Regions from separate parts of the Mus musculus genome. Here regions 1, 2, 3 and 4 are each reported to be linked to region 5. Evidence: microRNA targets listed by miRTarBase, many of them from high-throughput screens and not tested one by one. Region 5 holds a microRNA gene; each other region holds the end of a gene's coding sequence.
Evidence for each region. Region 5 holds the annotated microRNA mmu-miR-1199-5p (UCUGAGUCCCGGUCGCGCGG, at 1,344-1,363, shown strand). A microRNA usually pairs through its seed, bases 2 to 8, with sites in the 3' UTR of a target mRNA and lowers its output. Matches are read on the target gene's strand: a 7mer-m8 pairs with bases 2 to 8, a 7mer-A1 pairs with bases 2 to 7 and ends in A, and an 8mer does both.

Region 1 (4,062 bases), not on the chromosome of region 5:
CTTCCTTTTAATAAAATATTCTGTGTCTTAATCAGCTTCCCTTCAAAATGGGAGATTCTAATCTCAGAGGAAATTGCTACACAACACTATGTGTGGTGGTGTATACCTATAATCTCAGTGTTTGTGAAGTAGAAGTAGGAAAATTGTGAGTTTGAGGAAAGTGTGGATTACATTAACAAGACCTTGCTTCGAAGACTTAGTTGTGCACCAAGGTATTAAATAAGGCATCTGCAGCTGTACTCAGGCAAGAGCTCCTTACTTACTCAGTATAACAGAGTTTATCAGATTAAGCTGCTAGTTGTGAGAAAGGTTATTTAATGATTTGAACTGTTCTTAGAAAGACTTGATATTGACTATCATATGTCTCTCATTAGGGTCAATGAAAGATCACCCGCAGCAGCAGCCAGGAATGTTGTCTCGTGTGACTGGAGGTATCTTCAGTGTTACAAAGGGAGCTGTTGGTGCCACCATTGGTGGTGTGGCTTGGATTGGTGGAAAGAGTCTGGAAGTGACCAAAACAGCTGTTACAACTGTGCCTTCCATGGGAATAGGGCTGGTGAAAGGAGGCGTGTCTGCTGTGGCTGGAGGTGTGACAGCTGTTGGGTCTGCAGTTGTAAACAAAGTGCCCTTATCAGGAAAGAAGAAAGACAAGTCTGATTGAAAGAGAAGTACACTTGCTCTCCACAGCATATGATGCCAGTGGCATTGAACAGTTCAATTACAGACTACAACCAAGTCAACCGCTAAACTGCTGTGTTGAAAGTATTGGTGACTGGCTGCATCTAAAACAAGAAGAGTCCAGTACTACCACAGTGTCTGAAGGCTTCTCATCCCTAAGTTCAGCTTTTTATCTGGTAAAATGTTACACTTGTTCAGTTGTAACTGAAGATATGGTATGTTTAAATATTTGCTCTAAGTCTTTCAGTTTGACTAAAAAATGTGAAAGTTCAACTTAGTAGATGATTTTACAGTTCCATGTGTACAGTGTGCCAGGTAACCCACACGACCCTTACAAAGGGACTCGAACTACATAAACTGTACCTTTGATGTGCCTAATAGTTTCAGATGTCTTAGTTTTTTATAACTATAGTGGTTTAGGCCAAGAGGCATTCTTATTTAAGCTGGCAAAAAAGTAGCAGGAATTCAAAAGTTTAGAAGACAAATGTTTTTATGATACTGTTGTTTTTTTTTTTGTTTGTTTTGGTTAGATAAGCATTCTGTTTGTTTAATCATTGATGCCTTACAAAAGAAAACATCTTTTCTAATAATCTTAAATATGTGCAGTTCTTATAATTATCAGTGAACTCTTTCAAAGGTTGTAAAATTAGTTTCCCTCTTAAAAATCTCAGGAGTATTGAGGTAAAGGAGTTTCCTGGTGTCAGTGGGTAAGAGTGCTTATCAGCTGTTGTGAGTAGTTAACACGAAATGTGCTTTAGTAGTTGGATTCATGCTCCCATCCTTAATACACCCCACAGTATCTATGGAACATTTCTTAGCTCATCAAAAGCTATGTGGGAAGTTTCATATTGAGAAGGAATACATTTTTTTTTTTGTTTTGTTTTGTTTTTTCGAGACAGGGTTTCTCTGTGTAGCCCTGGCTGTCCTGGAACTCACTTTGTAGATCAGGCTGGCCTCGAACTCAGAAATTCACCTGCCTCTGCCTCCCGAGTGCTGGGATTAAAGGTGTGCACCACCACACCCGGCAAATATTAATTTTTAAGTTCTTATAATTATCCTAGTAACCTAAGATAATCCTTCATGCTTATTCTTTCTTTAGGATGTCTTAAATTATTAGTAGTAATTCCTTTAAAAATACAATAAAATCAACCATTAATATATGAGGATTGACTCTTCAAATGAATGAGATGGGCTCTATACATTGGCTTTGAATTTAAAAAAAATAGATAAATGCTTTCAATGACGTATTTAGGGTTTTTTTTTTTTTTTTTTTTTTGTTGTTGTTGTTTTCTTTGAGATGGGGTCTTCTAAAGCCCAGGCTGGTCTTGAACTGGATATGTAGCTGAGGATATTCTTGCGCTTCTAATTCTGCACTCACCTCCCAAGTGCTGGGCTTAAGGCATGAGATACCATGCTTGCTTTATGTGATGTTGGGGATGGAACCCAGGGCTGCATGCATAGTAGGCAAGTACTGTACCAACTGAGTTGCATTCGTAGTGAAATTCGTTCATAGCTTTAAAACATGTTCTCTTATAGCCCTTTAAAGCAGCTGTAGACATACCATTTCTCAAGCCAGTTTCAGGCAGGGAGTTGAAGGTTTTTGATATGGATGGTAAGTGTGTTGTGTCTTAATGTGTTATCATAACATATTCATTTTCACAGAATGTAACTCAGAAGTTCATTTCTTTTTGTCTTAATGCTTAGTTTCATGGAAATTTATAAGTGACATATATTTGGCATTTATCTTACAATCTAAGCCTGAAAAAAATTCTTAATTTTCTTTATACCTAAAACTAGAATTCTGTCTTCATTCTGCCCCTTCTAACTCCCTGGAGAGAGGAAGGGAGTGGTGCCTTGGTGTAAGTCAAAATGTAGTGTTCCTGAGACCAGAAGAAGATCACCTGAATATGTAGGTTCAAATGTTTGGAACTCTTAAGAGGATTCTATTAGTAATGTGGGCCAACAGTTGAATAAAAATATAAATTTAAAAAGCACTCATAAATAACAGCAGGACTGTCAAGCAAATCTACAGATGTTCTTGAAACTTTGTTTATACAAAATTTAAAATCACTGAATTAAATTTAGAAGGAATTAAATGGTCATTTATTTCATGCAATATCATTTAAGAGACATTTGTTGATACATTTGGTGAAATGTGTTAACAAATGGTATTTTTAAAGTTCCAAAATTAATAGACCCATTCTCAGTGATCTAAATAATGGTATTGGAGAAATTGATTCCTGCTATTTAGAAGAATTTATTGATTCATATCTGGTTTGTATTTCTAACTTAGAGGTTCTACTATGCTTTGTACTTGAATTAGTCTAAGTGTAGGCTTAGTATACTATATGCTTGCATATTTATTTTCAACTTTGCTTGTCTTTAAAATCACTTGAGGAAAAATGGCTAATTAATTTCTGCTACAGAAAAGCCAACTGGTAAATTTTCTCAATTGTCTTAAATGCTAAAGTATAATGTGGTTCAGAGGGGCTTTTACGATAGCAGAGAACTGTACAAATATACAGGTAGCTGTAGTTCTAACTGAAATGAACTTGCCATTTGATGATGTGTACAGCTATATACCTGAGTCCCTTCTAGTTTATGTAGACTAGCAATTTGACCTGTTAAACAGGACTAGTTTACTTTGTTGTATACACCTGGAGGTATCTGTTATTCGACTCCATTTTTGAGTTTTGGCACAGTGAAGATAAATTTGTGTGACCCACTTGAATGACTGATCTAACAATGTTGATATGAATATTGTATTTAGTGAAATGTCAGATGAAAATACCTGATTGAATAATGCGGGGATTTTTGTATTAAAGGGATGGGAAAGAACACCTGAATCTGATAATAAAGGACTATGATCTACAAAGATGGAATGTTTCATAAAGATCTACAGAAATAAAGGGATTTTGTAAACAGGATGATCTTAAAAGTTAAGATTACACAGTTCAGGGTGTGCTGCAGTAAATTTTTTTGGTGATACTTTACAAACATGATATGGATGTAGACACAACAGTAAAGTGCAAACACAAAAACTAAAAGTCTGAAAATTCAAATGTCTAGATTTCGTCATCTCAGTTTGTTCAGTCTCTTTAACAACCTTTGTGGGTTATTCTTGGGCATACTAAAGTGTGAAAGCTGAAGAGCTAGACCTAGGGAACACTTTTCTATTGTATGTAGTTAAGGATCCCGTGGCCCCTTCACGCTGGCGTTTCTTCTGTGAGTTCTAGGAGTTAAACCTAACTTAGGTTCTAATGTCCCACGTGCTGTGTCCTGAGCCCTTCAACCCACTCTACAATGCCTTCTCACTTCCCTACTCCAACAGTCACTCTGGATAAGTCAACCAGTGATTGCCCTATTCCAAATTCATTAGTCACT
Region 2 (4,062 bases), not on the chromosome of region 5:
TCAAGGGGGAAGACACTCCCTGGGTGTGGTATCCAGAGGAGAAGGAAGAGGCCCACAGGTGTCTACTTCACCCCCCCCCCTCCCCCGGGCTCTATGCTATATATGGAGCAATTCTGCTCTGCTACAAGTTCCCCACCATGAAGGCACGCTTTACCACAGATCCAAAAATGGTGGAGCCCAGTAGCTGAGGGCCCACATGCCTAAAATCAAGATTAAAAAGAGAAATCCTATCACAGCAGTGAAAACTGACTTTGGCCACAAAGGGACATACCAACCTTTCCTTCTGAGCTCCTCACACCTCTCAGTCTGAATGAATCCTATTTCTCAAGTTTCACTTGAAGGTGAAGTCAGCTTTAGGCTGACAAGCACCAATACCTATAGCATGCCAAGCTGTGAACCAGACTGGTACAGAGAGCCCGGTTACTGCTGTGCAGGAGTGATGACAGCTCAGGAAGAAGACATTCAGCCTCGTAAGTTCAGCTCTGTAATTACTTAGTGTCACTGGGCCAGGCACTATGAGGACTGGCTTCTGTAACATCAAAATTCCAGAAACCGTCCAAGTTAACAGCGCCTCGATCCTCCGACTTCTACCTGGCTGTCGAGTGGTGAGCTGACTGCTAGAGTCATCGTGCAGGCACAGATGAAAACGCTTACACTTCAGTCACAGGAACCAGGAAAAACGAGAGGAGACGAATTTATTACTTAGTATCGGATGCTTTATTTTGCATTTACAGTATCTGCTTTCCCCATATTGATCATCAAGGCCTTATGGTGAGGCAATGAGAACTTATCATATGAATCAGGTCTATTGAAAAACAATGGATAACTTACAAACATGTCTCCGTAGAATCAAAAACATTTTATAAAACATACTCTAGTACACATGAATTTTAGATGTCAAAAGGCATTTAAAAAAAAACAAAGATGAAGGAAACATTTAACACTGTGGAGCCTGGCAGAACAGCGCGGACGGCAAGCTGGACACAGCTTCGAAGGCCCAGTGTGAGTGGAAGGAAGAGGATGACTGGCTGGGCCTTCACTTAAATAATTTATCAGTAAGATTCTCTTTTTAAATGAATGTTTCTACCAAGTGAACATTTTTTTTTTTTGCCTTGGAAGCTCCTCAAATTTTATACGTATGCTTGTTAATAACTTGATTTAAAGAGCTGAGAATTAGTGGAAGGGAAGAAGGAAAATCGCTTGTGGTATTACTGAAGTGACCGGCATTGCGCAGCACACGCTCAGAAGGGGAGTGTGCGCAGAAAAGGGATGGAAAGACTCAATGCCAAAACGTACAAGTGTTCTCACTTGGGGAATTTAAGAAAACAAACAAAACAAAAAACATGTCGTCAATTAGTTTTAAATTTTCAAAATGGCATAATACAAATCTTCACACATCTATTTTAGGGCTCATTAAAATTAACCATTCTTCTATTTCTACTTAAGTATAATCTGTATGTGGTTTAGGGATATCCGCAGACAGGATCATAGAGGCCACTCAATGGTCACGGCAAGCATTGGGGCTCAGGAAAGCTGAGGCAGGAATCCCGAAAGCTAAAGGCCAGAGCAGTTAAGTTTGAAGCCAGCCTAGGACACACAGCAAAACCCTGTCTCGAATCAAAAAGTAATAAGGACAGAAAAAAAATGAAAATGAAAACAAACAAAAGGATGCTGAGCAGGGTGGCCCGTGGGCTTAACGCCAGCATGTAAGAGGTAGGGGTGGGGAGATGTCTGTGAGTTTAAGGCTATCCTAGTCTACACAGAGATTTTCAGGCTAGCTAGGACTATACTGTAAGACCCTGACCCCCCTCGCCCCCCCCCAAAAAAAGGTAGATAATTTGATTGGGCAGTGATTTTTTTTAAGGTGCCTAATGTCACAAATTTAGTATTTTGCCTCAGTGAACCAGGGACCAGGAAGTGAGCAAGAGATCCTAAGTGTCTCTTCACTGATTCAGTGGCTCACTCAGGACCTGCTGGCAGCTGTGCTGGCCTCAGTGTGTTCTGAGGACACTTGTGAGCAGTGAGCCCCTCTACGCCCACAGAACTGAGATCACGGAGATGGACAGAGTAATCTATAGCTTAATCCCAAGCATGAGTGCCATGTCAGGTCCCGTTTTTGATATAATGTGGGCCTAAAACATAACTTAAGTGCTCTGTATATTCTAATTTTTTTATTATACCCATGAGATGGGTTTCTGAGACCATCTCAACTTAATATTCATCTTGCATCTCAGATTACCTCTCCTGTTAGTCCATAATATTGTCTAGAGAGAGCAGGTAGAAGCCTTAAGAGCACTTCATAGAAGAGATGAACCAAGTTTACTGACTTGGGAGAAGATTTTGTTCTAACAGATCCTTACAGATTTTCAAGTGCATTTTTTTGTATATTGAATAAGAATTATTCTCAAAGCAAATATTGAATGATAGCAAAGTTCTAACTCATTAAGACAGCATATTTTGACATCACCAACTCAAAATGCTAACGGTACCACTAATTGTATGCAATCTGGAATGATCTTAACTACAAATTAAACTCCTGAGACCAAATGATCACTACTGTTAGACTGTTTCGACCCCTGACTCCCAACAATAACACAGAGACTTTTTATTATTTATGAATGCCAAGGCCTTATATCTTAGGCTTCTTCCCAACTAGCTCCTATGGCTTAACTAATCCATTTATTTTGGTCCATGTTTGCCACATGGCCCGTTATCTTTCAGTCCCTGAAAGTCAGACTTCCTTTTGTGATGCCCTGCCCTGCCCTGCCTTTCCTTTCCTGACCTACAGGCCCTCAGTGTTTACCAATCAGAAGGTGGTGGAGAGGAGAGTTTACAAACTACAATGAAGGTGCTTAGCAATTCAAATAACAATACCAAAGAGTATTCAGCTGGAAATCAACATCTGAATACAGCAGTGGTGGCGCACGCCTTTAATCCCAGCACTTGGGAGGCAGAGGCAGGCGGATTTCTGAGTTAGAGGCCAGCCTGGTCTACAGAGTGGGTTCCAGGACAGCCAGGGATACACAGAGAAACCCTGTCTCGAAAAAAAAGAACAAAAAGACAAAAAACACAAAACAAAATAAAAAAGACAACCTTTACACGGTATGCAAAAAGATGACCATAGACGTCATGGAAGACTATGAAACATGGGTTAAATACAGGGAGCTGCTCTCCAGAGCTGCTTTTTTCTTTTGAACATTAAAGTAACTGAATATTATTTTTGGAGGGAGGAAATGTATGAAGATAGAGTAGAATATTCTACACATAGGGGAAACATTCTAATTAAGATACTTTAAGCTATTGTAGATGTTTATTTAGTACTAGAAATGTGCTTAGCTATCATAAAGTATTTCTCTTCATCACAAAATAGTAAGGATTTACACAATCCAAGGAGAAAAAAACAATCTAAGAAAACCTTTTGACCTGGGTACTTCTTCTTCTAAAAGGGGTCTCCAAAGTCCTGAGCAGAGTTGTCATACTCAGTAATGAAACGCTTGAGCTCTTCCACGCAGCGCTCACCTATCTCGTGTAAGTTCTGCCTCAGTGCAAACTGGACAGACTTTTCTAATGAGGGATCTTTTTCAATCAGCATTTTCACCACCATCCCGAAAGTCTCGCAGTCTTGTCGGTAAACCTAGGATGGCAAAACACATTTGGATTAGATGAGTGAATTAAGCCCATGGCTGGCTGAGCCGGTAGAACTCAGCTGCTGAAACCTGTAAGGGAGCTAAACCTGTAAGATGGCTGAACCTCCCCTGTATCAGCACAGCCACATGCCTTGGGTATCAGCTCACAACTGAATAAGCAGGCAGGCAGACAGACAGACAGACGCACCCATCACTGAGAAAAGCACAGGGCTTTACACTTGGGTTAGGTAAAGAAGGTAAGGACAAAAGAAAGGCAAAAAAATCCTCACTCATTTGTTAAGAGAAGAAAGGCTTTGTCATCAGCGTGCCAGCCACACATTTAATCCCAGGAGGGGCAGAAGGATCTCTGAGTTGGAGGCCAGTTTGGTCTACATAGCAAATTCTCTCTCAGCCAGAACTACTACAATCGTAAGAC
Region 3 (4,062 bases), not on the chromosome of region 5:
TTATATATACAATGTTGGCAACTATAAACTACATCACACACATGCACGGACATTGACACATACACACACTCAGCCAGGCATGAAGGTCTCAAAAACTCGGACACACTGAGATGATGGGCTGCAGCATCTATGGGTGTGCACTTTTATACTCCATGTGCCAGACTCCAGTCATTAAGAGTTCAGAAAGGGCAAGTGCTGGGCTCAGAAGATCTCCGTGCTCCCTGAGGAGCCAGGCTGGTGCCCAGAATCACGATCAGGGCCTCCCATGATTTCCCTCTGCAGTCTTTAGACAAGACCCAGCTTTATAGGGTCATAGAAACCAGACTGTTTCCCCTAAATTTTATTCCCAGATTCCGAGGACAGAATTCTTGCTTTGGTGCAATCTGCTTGCTGGAGAAGGTCAAAAAAAGCAGACCCCTTCCCGACCTCCAAATCTACTTTTAAACACAAAGTTCAGACCCACAGCTTAGACCTTGCCTTTCCCCCAGGCCCCAAACACAGCTAAGCCACAGGGCTTAGCAGCTTTCTCTGTAGCAGGTTGGCAGGTCTATGACACCAAAAGGACAACTGGAAGGCACCACGACCCAGGGACCCTCAAGAAGTCTGGGGCTTCTTTTCAGGAAGTCAAGAGTCTTAAGGCTTTTCCAATCCTACTTCAGCTGAACTGCATCGTGTGGACCAAGACCAGTAACATATCCCATACGCACAGGCAGCATATGGGATATGGCTGCTCTGACCAGGGTCCTTGGTCCCAGCCTACGTTCTCCGGCTTTGCGTGAAGGTGGGAGCCAGAGGGGGCATTTCTAGGTTTTCTGATGAGGCCACTTAGGAGTCATGAAACCATCTATTTTAGTCAAGAGAAAACAAGAAACTGACTCAGCATAGGAAAACAGCAGCTGCTTCTGGATCAGGCATTTTCTCTTAATCTACTGTTTACACTTTTATGGTCAACCACGTTAACTCCTAACCCTAAACACACTCCCACCTGCTACATTCTGTCAGTAGGATGTCACTCTCTAGGCCAGAGCCCTGGGTGCTTTGATCATGGGGGTGGGGTAGGGACTGCTTGGCCTTAATAGGTTTGTTGGCTCCTTTGGATTCTGGTTTACAATAGGGAAAGAGAACAGAATTTGAGACAGTGCGATCAGACACCAGGGGCTAGAAAAGCATGGGCACTGGGCTGCTCCCCGGCCTCCACTCGCTGTGCTTCTTTTCCCTGCCTTGTGATGGAGGGACAGATCCTCCTGCACCCACCATCTAGACTTCCTGACTCTGAGGCATACTTGGTCACGATCAGATTCCATTTCCTGTCAACAGGCAACCCAGTATCCTACTGGATGTAAATTTAAATCAATTCTACCAAGAAGAGGGCACACAAGTGACCAGTTCTCTAAAAGCAGCATGTCCCTACTACACAGCCACGGCATGAAGAAAAAGAAATACTTAGACCGAGCAGCCATTGATTCTGCAGACATGAACGCTGTGCCTTTCTTCTGTTCCCAGGGCAAGGTGAGAGACAGACATATCTGTGTGGGCCTGGAGGCATCTGGTTCTGATGCTGGCTCTCAAAAGACTCCAAGGAAGTGTCTCTCCCAATCCACAACTAGGGTTAAGGTGTCTCAGGGGTGGACAATGACATCAGTGGGGAACAATAAAGAAACTAATGGACTCTTACTCTAGCTAAGCAGAGGATAGAGGATGTGGCCGGCAAGTGAAAAAAGACAGTTTTTAGCACAAGGCTTAAATTTTCTTAGTTTCTAAAAGGTTACTTGCCTTCATGCTTAAACTTGCCTTCAAGGCCATGCTTATAAACTTGGGTTGAGCAGTAGCCACACAGCTCCAAAGCCATGTGAGTGGTGTTGGGGTGTTGTCCTCAGGGACCTGAGATCATGCAGGCCATGCTGGAGCCGTGAGCCCGTAGCTCAGTGCAGAGAACATGGGAAAGAGTTGTATTACAAATGGGAAACTCTGGGGAAAGGGTCAGGAGTGCCCCATCTGTGATATTTATCACATATGCAACGAAAAGTACATGTGCTCAAGTTCTCCTAATTCTGGAAAATGTTGCCACCTGTCCTAGTGAGCAGGCTGTCACTATGCAGGGTCCCGAGGAGCTCAACTTCTCCTTTATGACCCCAGGCCACACTGCCTACAACCATACCTTAGAAATGATTCCTGCAGACCACAGAACCACTTCCCCTTTACAAGAAGCAAAATCTCTGCCTTTAATCCTAGCACTTGGGAGGCAGAGGCAGGTGGATTTCTGAGTTCAAGGCCAGCCTGGTCTACGAAGTGAGTTCCAGGACAGCCAGGGCTACACAGAGAAACCCTGTCTCGAAAAAAACCAAACCAAACCAAACCAAACCAAAAATCTCTGGAGCAATGTTGGTCCTGAGAGAAAAACAGCTTGGAAAACGTATGGGAAGTTTGAAAGGGAAAAGATGGACTATCTTGGACCGTGGAGTATGCCCACTGCTAGGCATTCTGAGAGGCACGGAGACACCACGAGGGACATCAGGAAAGGGCCAAACCAAGATAACTGCAAGTGGCCTTGTTTGCACCCACCCAGTCCTGGGTCAGCTGCTCCCAGCACACCAAGTCACATAGGGACAGGGAGGTAGCACATAGGGAAAATGGAAGCCAAAGTGATTCCTAACACCTCTACCCAGGCTACAAGCAAGGCCAATTATCCCCAGTGTCTCAGACTTAGCCCAAAGAGGGAAAATATTTTTTCAATCCTAGTTGTTAAATCTTTCTTTCCCCAAATTCTAAAGTGCCACTTGCTCAACTGCCTGCCTCTCTCTCAAGCCCTCACTACTGCTGGGAGCATCTTCCAGAGGAAGTGATGCAGACAGGCCTCAGGGCCCTGGCACTTCCTCCCCCCCTCTCCAGCCACCTAGAACCAGCTAGCTTGCTCAGCTTTCTCTCATCCCAGAGGCTGTGGAAACAAAGACATCAGGGACCAAACTTAACAACTAGGAAACATCCAGAAGAGAGAGAACCAGAGAAGACCCACCCCAAGCTTCCTCTGGACAGAGATGTGGGAAGATGCTACGCAGCCAGGACACAGACTCACCACACTCGTGCTTTGCTGAAGCTGCCACCCAGTCTGGGAGACCCAGCCCCTCTCCATCCCCAGCTCTTCTGCTAGCCTTGCTGGCTCCAGTGTCTGTCCCCAGCTCTGGCTGTAAGTCCTCAGCATTGATTAATAGTAGAAAAAGAAATGCAGACAACTAGAGAGTAGGCGGGATGCTGGGTAAGACAACCAAGACTTAAGAGGCGAGAGCAGACATCACTTCTGAGCTTTCACAGGGTCATTTCCCCAGGTGCCACCTCTGCCCTCCTTTGACCAACCATGTGGATATCAGGCTCCTTTCTTTGGGAGTGGCTGACACTCCCTCATAGACACATCCCCAATGGAGGCTTCCCAGGCCCTTCTGCTTCTCAATGGAGATGTCCTTGTGATTCTCTGTCCCTGGCTGATACAAGAGAAGACAGGTCAGATGCTTATTAGCCCAGAGGAGAGGTGGCTGGACTCTTCTCACGGAAGACGACAAGGAGGAAGGAGGACCACAGAGGACCAGAGAGGACCTTTTGCTCACTGTCCAAGGTGACAAGTTCTTAGCCATCCCAGCTAGATTTCCAAGGTGAGAGTGAGCAGGGGGGTGGTCCTCTTGCAGACTGTGTCCTCTAAGGAGCTCTGTCTCCTGGAGTTCAGTATACACACAGATCAGGAAACTTCATCTCATAGACAGGGATGGAGTGGTTTTGCGGCTGGCCGTAGGCTGCGCTGATGGTTCCTGAAGGGCTTGGAGGGGGCCTGGAGACACACAGAGGAGAGAGGTAGGAACCAAGAGCTGGGGTCCTACCCTGGTGCAACTGAACACAGCAGCTGGTTTTGGTTTCTCTTTAAAATGCATGCCACTCCACGAGTTCCCAGATTTTCAAGATGTTCTATGATCTTCAGCTCAGTCAAAACTCCCTGTATAGGCTCTACAGCAGCGGTTCTCAACCTTCTTAATGCTGCCACCCTTTAATGCAGTCCCTCATGTTGTGGTGACCCCC
Region 4 (4,062 bases), not on the chromosome of region 5:
TCAGTACCCTGCCTTCCATTTCTTCCATCACTTTTGGCTCCCTGTGCTTGAAGTATTAATATTCAGACCCATCCATGACTTGAAACTCAGTCACTCTGCCTCTGGGTTTACTGTTGATTAGTGTGGACCGTGTTTATTTTCCTAAATGCCATATTGCTCCAGCCATTCCTAGAATTCCACTGTCACCCATTCGAAGAACTGGTCCAGTGTCTGCTCATCCCTCAGCTCAGCTTTACGCCCTTAGTGTCGTCAGGACAAACTCCCCGTAGCTTTTGCTTGTTTTTTTAATTATCTGCTTGTATGTCTAATCACTACACTGTGCTGGGAGTTTTTTCCAAGAATGAAGTACATGCTAATATAACGCAATATAGAGGGACTCATTGAATATTTGAATGACCTTGGCCACCAGCTTGCTGCTTCCTTATGCCTTCTAAGAAGAAGGTCATAAGGTCACTATGAAAGAGTTTGAGCTTGCTAATAATCTTTGTTTCTGAAATAACTTAGTCCTTCTAATATTTTTTCTGATTATTCTCACTTCTTAAAATTATGTTTAAGTCAAATGTAAATTAAACAGAAAATATATTTTGTTAGAAAATAGTAGTTAATAGACGTGGGTGAAGTGGCATACTCAGACTCCCAGATGCTCAGGAAGCTGAAGCAGGAGGATCAGCTGAGCTAAATCAGTCACACTTGAGTCCCTCCACAGTCTGGGCAACATAAGGTCCACTCTCTCATGACAGAGAAGGGAAAAAAAAAGACAGAGACACAGACAGACCATGAAATTACCAAATCAGCTATCACTTTATCAAATAATAGTTACCAATAATGCTTGTTGGCATGATTAAAAAATCAGGTAAGATACATCCATTGTATATCATGGGGTAAGAAATTGTAGAACTACATTTGTTTGTAGGTAATTGGTATGATATGACAATCTAATCAGAGAAAATAGAAGTTTTACAGCATACATTTGCGATCTTTCCAATATTGCCAGCTATACTGTCTGGAAGTTTGGAAGCCTTATTTTGTTTTTAATATATATATTTATTTTTATTTTATGTGTATGGGTGTTTTATCTGCATGCATGGAAGTGCAATGCGTGCATATCTGGTGCCCACAGAGGCCAGAGTGGGTGCTGGATCCCCTGGAACTAGAACCCCTGAGCAGCTTTAAGCCACCCTGTGTGTGCTGGGAACCAAACCTGGCTGTTCTGCAAGAGCAGCAAGAGCTTTCAGCCACCGCCATCTCTTCCGCCCCTAGCATGGCAGTTGTAGTGCTTGCAGCCTCCGTGTTTTGTGTATGCAAGGCATTTAGCAAATACTTGCTGAACAAATGCTGGTGTGCAGGAAAGCTATTCAGCCTGTTTTCCACATTGGAATCTCCCTTTCTCAACTTTTCAATTCATCACTATTTGTTGTGATCAGCCTGCATTTCAAGATTAGCATCTTAGACAGGTGTGCTGGCACACATCTGCAACCCCAACACACCAGGAGATGCACGCAGAGGATCAGGAATTTGAGATCCGCATCAGCTATACAGAACCTATCTCAAAACAAAACAGAAACAAACCAAAAAACTACCCTCTCCAGCCCGGGTCAGTGTTCTAAGTGAAATTACCTTCCTCATTTCTGTCTTTGGGGTTTCTTCACTGTAGCTAGAATAGGAGAAATGCAAGACAATGCAAATAGTTGGACAGAAATTTTTCAAATCATAAGACTTAAGCTTGTTTTAATTTTATTTAAAATAATTTTATTGGGCAAATAAATCACTAGAAAAATTAAGATGGAAAATTTGAGAAAAATGTATAATATCTGGTAGAATTGTTACAGTATATAGCTAAGTAGATTTTTGCTGGTTTGTGTGTTAAGAATGTTTTGCACTAGCCATACTGCTTACTGAACTTTAAAGATGATGCGGTTTGGTGGGGGCACATGATTGTGTTTGCAGATGTTGCATTACGATGTTTGGTTGAAACCTATGCTGCCAGTTTTGAGGAAAAGGATGAAGAACCTTTAGCCAAACGCATAAAGAATGATAAGACAGAAAAAGAAAGTAACACTTTGGCCAAGGAAGGAAGTGAAAAAGATGTCCCAGAGACATGGACCCCGGTGGCTGGCATTGTGATTGCGCTCTGTTGTCACCACAGGTGTGACTGGAGACATTATGTGGGCAAAGAGTATTTCAAGGCTCTTGGACTTGGGGCGGTAGAGTTCTACTATTTCCAGAGAATGAGTAGTTGGGCAACGTGTGGAATGAGGACATCGTTGGAAGGCTCGGATGTTACTCCAGAGAGAAAAGATGCTCAAAGGGATGAGAATGAAGAGCACGATGATGGAGGAGACAGACTCACAGATGGCAACACTGACAGTTTGCCTGGGTAAGTGACGACAGCTACAAACACCATGCTACAGGGAGATACTTTATCCCCGTAAACTAGTCCTCCTGTGGGTGAGACTGCACAGATGCCTCGAACCGTAGATAAAACAGAACCCCACACACTAGCATTGCACTTACCTACTCTGTCCATCTGGTAGTCAAGATGGCTGCACAACGTCTAGCAAGTGGGCAGCACGGTGTGGCTGTGCTAAGGATGCTCATGTGTGAGGCACAGGTTCATTCCCCGGATAGGAAGGAGTGGGTGGCCCATGATTCACCATGCTACTCAGAATGCCACTACCAATGGTTCATTTTCAGAATTTTCCATTGAATATTTTCACACTGATTGACCTTGGCCAGGAGAAACCATAGCAAATAAAACCGAATGGTTGTTTCTTAGTCTTTTGGCTGAGATCAAGTATACAAAGTAAAACTGAAGGAGAAGGATTCTTTTTTTTTTTCCTTAGATGACTGTTATCAAAAATTTAGAAAATATAGCTTACATTCTAATTTTAGAATAAACTAAAACATATTTTAATTGTGATCATAAAGAAAAGTCTTAGATGGGGCTGGAGAGATGACTCAGTGGTCAAGAGCACCGACTGGTCATCCAGAGTTTCTGAGTTCAATTCCCAGCAAGCACATGGTGGCTCACAACCATCTGTAATGGGATCTGATGCCCTCTTCTGGTGTGTCTGAAGACAGTTATTCATATAAACAAAATAAATAAATAAATCTTAAAAAGAAGAAAAGGCGTCTTAGAAGCATCAGACATAGCGCCTAGTACGTGCTGTTGGCTAGTTAGCAGCTTCGTAAATGGCAGTGGCCAAACTTGGTATGAACTTTTACCAAACTTTAAATTTTTGTGTGCTTATTCCATGTAGGATTCTTACTGTTGAAGAAAAGAAGAAAATAGGACATCTTTGTAAACTGCTGATTGACCAAGGCAGACTCCAGTATTTACAGCAGAAAGGCTTCAGTCCTGCCTTACAGTACTATACGGACCCATTGGTGTCTCTGGAAAACGTATTATTAACTGCCGTACCAGCTCATCCGTCATCGCAGGAAAAACATCATCAATGAAAGGAAACATGAACGTGACGTTTGTCTTCCACAAACAAAAAAATTTAAATTATTTTTAAATTATATTTCGATATTCACAAAAATATTCACCAAGTAGTCAAAGTATTCCTTTTCAGCAGGGCTCTTTCAATTACTTTCTCCATCAGAATGTATAGAGCTTGGCATTTGAGTCAGACAGTTGACTTGGTCTTCTGAAAGATATAACACCAGTATATAATTATAGTGTGAACTCTGTGTATTAATCTGGTAAAGGTTTTATTTGATTTTTTTCATTTTTTGAGCTCCAGTTATAATAAACAGTATAAATTTATAACAAGGATCAATCTGAGTGTGAGGCTTTTTTTTTTTTCTTTTTTTCTTTTTTTCTTTTTTCTTTTTTCCCCGAGACAGGGTTTCTCTGTGTAGCCCTCAATGTCCTGGAACTCACTTTGTAGACCAGGTTGGCCTCAAACTCAGAAATCCGCCTGCCTCTACCTCCCAAGTGCTGGGACTAAAGGCGTGCGCCACCACGCCTGAGTGAGGCTTTTTTTTTTTTTCAATATAGGTCTAGAAAGAATAATTGTAATTATCTTGAACACAGACAAATTTAGAAATTTAAGAATT
Region 5 (4,066 bases):
CTCTGCCCCATCTTGGGCCTCCTGGGCAAACTGGTCCAAGCTGACCGCCTTCCAGCCACAATTGCTCGGCTGAGGCCCGGAAGTCCTGTAATGTCTGTGCCCTCAAACACCGCTCATTCTAGCTGGACACTTGGCTGCCAATGCCTTGCGGGCTTTTCTGGAAGGTGGGGGTGGGGAATCTGCCCCAGGGTTTTGAGTGGCGGCAGCGCCGCTGCAAACCAGACAGAGCTGAGCAGCCCCGGGTAGCAGCAGCACCCAGTGCGGCGGCCCCGGGCGACCCTCGGGCTGGACTCGAGCTGTGTTGCCTCAGCGATCAGTGTGCAGAGAAGGCCCGGAGATCACGGGATAGGGGGCGGGGGGAAGGAGAGTGGTGTCGCTGGCCGCAGGCTGGCACTTGCTGACCTAGACTAGTGAGGTCAGCGAAAGACGACCGGGGAAACACTCTGTAAGGAGGCCGTGGTTCAGCGATCAGCGCGGCGCTCCGCTAGAGGTCAGGTCTCCGGAAAGTGATGAAAAAAAAAAAAAAAAAAAAAAAAGACCCCAGAATGCCAGCGTGGTACCAGAGGGAAAGGGCGACACATACCCCCTGGGTAGTGAGTTCAGGGAAGCCCTTTCCGAAGAAGCCACCCCTTCAGTCAACCCGTGTGTTCAGGTGGCGGGAATCCGGAGAGCAGTGGAGGCGCCCTGGCCCATAGGGCGGGTCCAGGGCCACTCGAATCCAGCTGGCAGGTGACGGGGGCGGTGCCCAGTCCTGCCCCCAGGGGATGTTCCTGGAGGCCAGAGGCGGGTCAAAGAAGAGTGCTGGCGACGCCTATGAACCTCGGGCGGCGGCTGTAACTACAGGTACTGCACAGGGCACCGTGTCCTACCTATTTGGGCATCTCAATTCGGCTCTGAGAACTAAAATTTTCAAAGGGCGCCTAACTCCAAACATCCATGTCCTCGGGTGTCCGAGAGTGGAGTCCTGGGGTCGCCTGAAGGCTACGTGTTCCGGGAGCCGCAGAGCCAGGGCACCGAGGGCTGCTGGGGGAGGCAGTGAGGTCCTGGAAACCTCTGGAGAGGAGCACTTGCAGACTCTGGAGCCAGAGAGCCAGGTCCCGCAGGTGCCAGTTGAGCACCGGACCGAGCGCCCGGGCGGTCCACAGCTGGGCCGCCTGGCACTAGTATAACGGAGGTACTGGGGCAGTTGTGCCCCTGTCTCGGCTCAGAGGCCTCCAGGTGTGTTTTCTACCGAAGCCCGCGGCATCCAAACCGGCGCCGGCGGAATTGCAGATGGAGACGCCCATCCAGCGCGAAATCCGCCGCAGCTGCGAGCGGGAGGAAAGCCTGCGCCGGAGCCGGGGTCTGAGTCCCGGTCGCGCGGGCGAGGAACTCATTGAGTTGCGCGTGCGGCCGGTGCTCAGTCGGCCCGGCTCCGGTACTCCGCTGCCGCGCGCCCTGGAGCGCGCTCGGGCGGGCGCGAAGATGCAACGGGACATCGAACGCGAGGCTCACAGGCAGGCGGCGCTGGCGAGCCCCGCGGTTCCGGAGCCTAGCGCCCGGCGGCGGCCGCAGCCGCTGGACGAACTCAAGCGCTTCTTTGAGGCTGCGGCGGAGGACGGCGCTGGCTTGCAGAGGCAGCCAGAGACCGGAGGCCGGCTGCACCCCGCCGTTCAGGACGGCTGTCCGGTACTGGGGCAGTTGCCACCGCTCGTTGCCCCGTCACTGCTGGAGCAGGAGGTGCGACGAGTGCGCGAGCGCGAGCGGGAGCTGCAGTTGCAGCGGCGCAGCATCTACGGCGACGCCGAGGTCCAGGAGCCAGCGCCGAGCCTCACCCGTAAGCGGTCCCCCTGGGCCCTAGAGCTCCAGCTGTCTCCACCTCCAGTGATCATTCATCTGTAGGCTTGCAGACCCTTAACTATTCTCCTGGGGGTTCACCTTCTTTTCTTCACTCCCACTCCTGGAGTGAGGATCCCCACATCCATCAGACCTTGGAACCTTGACTTCTGGCGTTCTCGGGTCCTCTGTAGTACTCGGGTGCCTCTCTACATTGAGTTTGCCTCATTCCTGTTCCTGGGTCCTCAGAACTGGGTGGAGGCCTTCATGGGGAAGAGGGGTGCACACCTGTATGTATATAAGGGGTGCGGCCATCCTCCAGCTGGCAAGAGGAGGGGCAGTCGCGGCTGAGTGTTCCTTCCCCCACAGCGAGCAGGGGAGATGGAAAATTGTCGGTGATCTGGCCTCCGCGGAGACGGGCCTCTGAGAAGGTGGGAGACTCCCTTTCCGATGCTTGTCGGTCTCCCAGCCCTCCCTGCAGCACCTGGGCACTGGGGTGGAGGGAGAAGGTGCCTCTTGGTCCCCTGGAGCGCCACTCTAACCCAAACTCAAAAGTCCTAGACGCGATCCAGAGAGTGAAGAGGAGGTGGAGGCCTAGAGGCCAAACTTCTCCCTGAGGGTGTTCTTTCTCTTCCCCTTTTCCTTCTAGGAGCGCAGACCCTGAGGTCTATGAAGGTTGGGACCTGCGGACAGAAGTAACATACCCTTTGGAGAACCAGGGTAGGGTTACTCTCCAGATCAGCAGAAGGCCTAGAGAGGGAAGGGCTAGCTTTCTTTAATGGCAACTTGAAATCCAGCCCATCTTTGATACTGACTATGGAATTAACCACCTTTCTCCATAAAATTCTCTAGTCTTCCTTGGAAACCCTGCAAAACCTATGAGTGAAACATAAAATAAACTCCTCCTCCCTTTACCTGGGCTTCAGTGCAAGCTATTTTCTACTGGGTCCTCCTTAGTCTGGGTGGGCGGAGGCTGGCAGGTGAAGAACGTTTGGAAAAGCCACCCAAGGATCCCGCCGGAATGTTGGAATTCAAAACGCGCTCTGGTCTCCTTGTTCTGGACTGACTGCGGACCCGGGCTTGGAGGCCAGGGCCCTACTGCCCCCTGGTGGTGAGAACGCAAAATGTTGCTCACCGGCCCACAGACTCCACTCTGGTATCCAGATGTCAGTTTTTATAGGCACCAAAACCATTCTGTGTTCAGGGAGCTGCTAGACCGAGGTGCTATGAAGTTGTATTTCCTGCTCTAGGGATATAAACAATAGTGTAAACATACTAGGGGTGGCTGGAGGGATGGTTTAGGGTAAGGAGTGCTTGCTATTCTTGCAAATGACCCGAGTTCAGTTCCGGGCATCTACATGGGAGGCTCACAACTGCTTATGTCCAGGAGAGCCATTGTCCACTTCTCTCCTCCAGGAAAATCTCAACATACATGGCACCCATTCGCACAAAATGCACACATATTCACATAAATTGAAATAAGGATAATTTTAAAAAAAGAAATACCAATGGTGGTGTTGAAGGATCAAGGACCTGGCAAGTGTTCTGGTGACCATCTTTGCTTGTTTCTTTTAAAACCGTGGCTTAAAAAAAAAAAAAAAAAGATAGAAAAAAGGCCGGGCGTGGTGGCGCACGCCTTTAATCCCAGCACTCGGGAGGCAGAGGCAGGTGGATTTCTGAGTTCGAGGCCAGCCTGGTCTACAAAGTGAGTTCCAGAACAGCCAGGGCTATAAAGAGAAACCCTGTCTCGAAAAACCAAAAAAAAAAAAAAAAAAAGATAAAACCGTGGCTTCGTATATCCCATATTGGCCTGAAATTCCCTTTGTGGTCGAGGGTGACCTAGAAAGTTTTAAAAGATTTATTTTTTGTATTCATGCTGTATGTATAAGTGTTTTGTTGGCTTGTATGTGTGTGTGTGCCTGTGTGTATGTGTGTGTGCCTGTGTGTATATGTGTGTGCCTATGTGTATGTGTGGGCCTGCAGAGGTGAGAAGAGAGTCAGATCCCTTGGAACTAGAGTTCCATGTGAGTGCTGAGAACTGAACCATGATCCTCCTAAAGTACTCTTAGCTGCCAAGCAACCTCTCTTTATTTTTAATTATAGGTGTGTGTTTGTTGGGGTATGTACATGAGAGTGCAGATATACAGATGCCCTCAGAGTCCAGAGAGACTGTTAGATCCCCCTAGAGCTGGAGCTACAGACAGCTGTGAACTACCAGAGATGGTGTTGGGAACTGGACCCAGGTCCTCTG

Region 1: miRTarBase lists Tmem263 as a target of mmu-miR-1199-5p. Seed matches in the 3' UTR shown: 7mer-A1 at 1,638-1,644 and 7mer-A1 at 2,347-2,353.
Region 2: the mRNA of Pphln1 is a reported target of mmu-miR-1199-5p. Seed matches in the 3' UTR shown: 7mer-A1 at 2,968-2,974.
Region 3: the mRNA of Efr3b is a reported target of mmu-miR-1199-5p. Seed matches in the 3' UTR shown: 7mer-A1 at 2,260-2,266.
Region 4: the mRNA of Lrrc39 is a reported target of mmu-miR-1199-5p. Seed matches in the 3' UTR shown: 7mer-A1 at 2,995-3,001.

Annotation. Positions count from the first base shown.
Region 1 is chr10:85,114,034-85,118,095 of GRCm38, forward strand. It overlaps Tmem263 (transmembrane protein 263), which reads left to right. Exons shown (of 3, transcript NM_001013028.2): 3 at 375-3,714. The coding sequence ends at 661. Among named protein-coding and RNA genes, the nearest start is that of Mterf2, 12 kb to the right of the region's middle.
Region 2 is chr15:93,488,546-93,492,607 of GRCm38, reverse strand. Pphln1 (periphilin 1) reads right to left here. Exons shown (of 9, transcript NM_175363.4): 9 at 695-3,634. The coding sequence ends at 3,440. Among named protein-coding and RNA genes, the nearest start is that of Pphln1, 92 kb to the right of the region's middle.
Region 3 is chr12:3,962,731-3,966,792 of GRCm38, forward strand. Efr3b (EFR3 homolog B) reads right to left here. Exons shown (of 23, transcript NM_001082483.1): 23 at 1-3,817. The coding sequence ends at 3,712. Among named protein-coding and RNA genes, the nearest start is that of Pomc, 9.8 kb to the left of the region's middle.
Region 4 is chr3:116,580,809-116,584,870 of GRCm38, reverse strand. Lrrc39 (leucine rich repeat containing 39) reads right to left here. Exons shown (of 9, transcript NM_175413.4): 9 at 1,727-3,650. The coding sequence ends at 3,586. Trmt13 (tRNA methyltransferase 13) reads left to right here. Exons shown (of 12, transcript NM_030016.3): 11 at 1,948-2,377; 12 at 3,261-4,062. The coding sequence ends at 3,459. Among named protein-coding and RNA genes, the nearest start is that of Sass6, 12 kb to the left of the region's middle.
Region 5 is chr8:84,008,891-84,012,956 of GRCm38, reverse strand. Mir1199 (microRNA 1199) reads left to right here and starts at 1,324; the gene lies at 1,324-1,442. It overlaps Misp3 (MISP family member 3), which reads left to right and starts at 1,237. Exons shown (of 3, transcript NM_001291292.1): 1 at 1,237-1,816; 2 at 2,185-2,246; 3 at 2,465-2,729. The coding sequence starts at 1,273. The coding sequence ends at 2,479.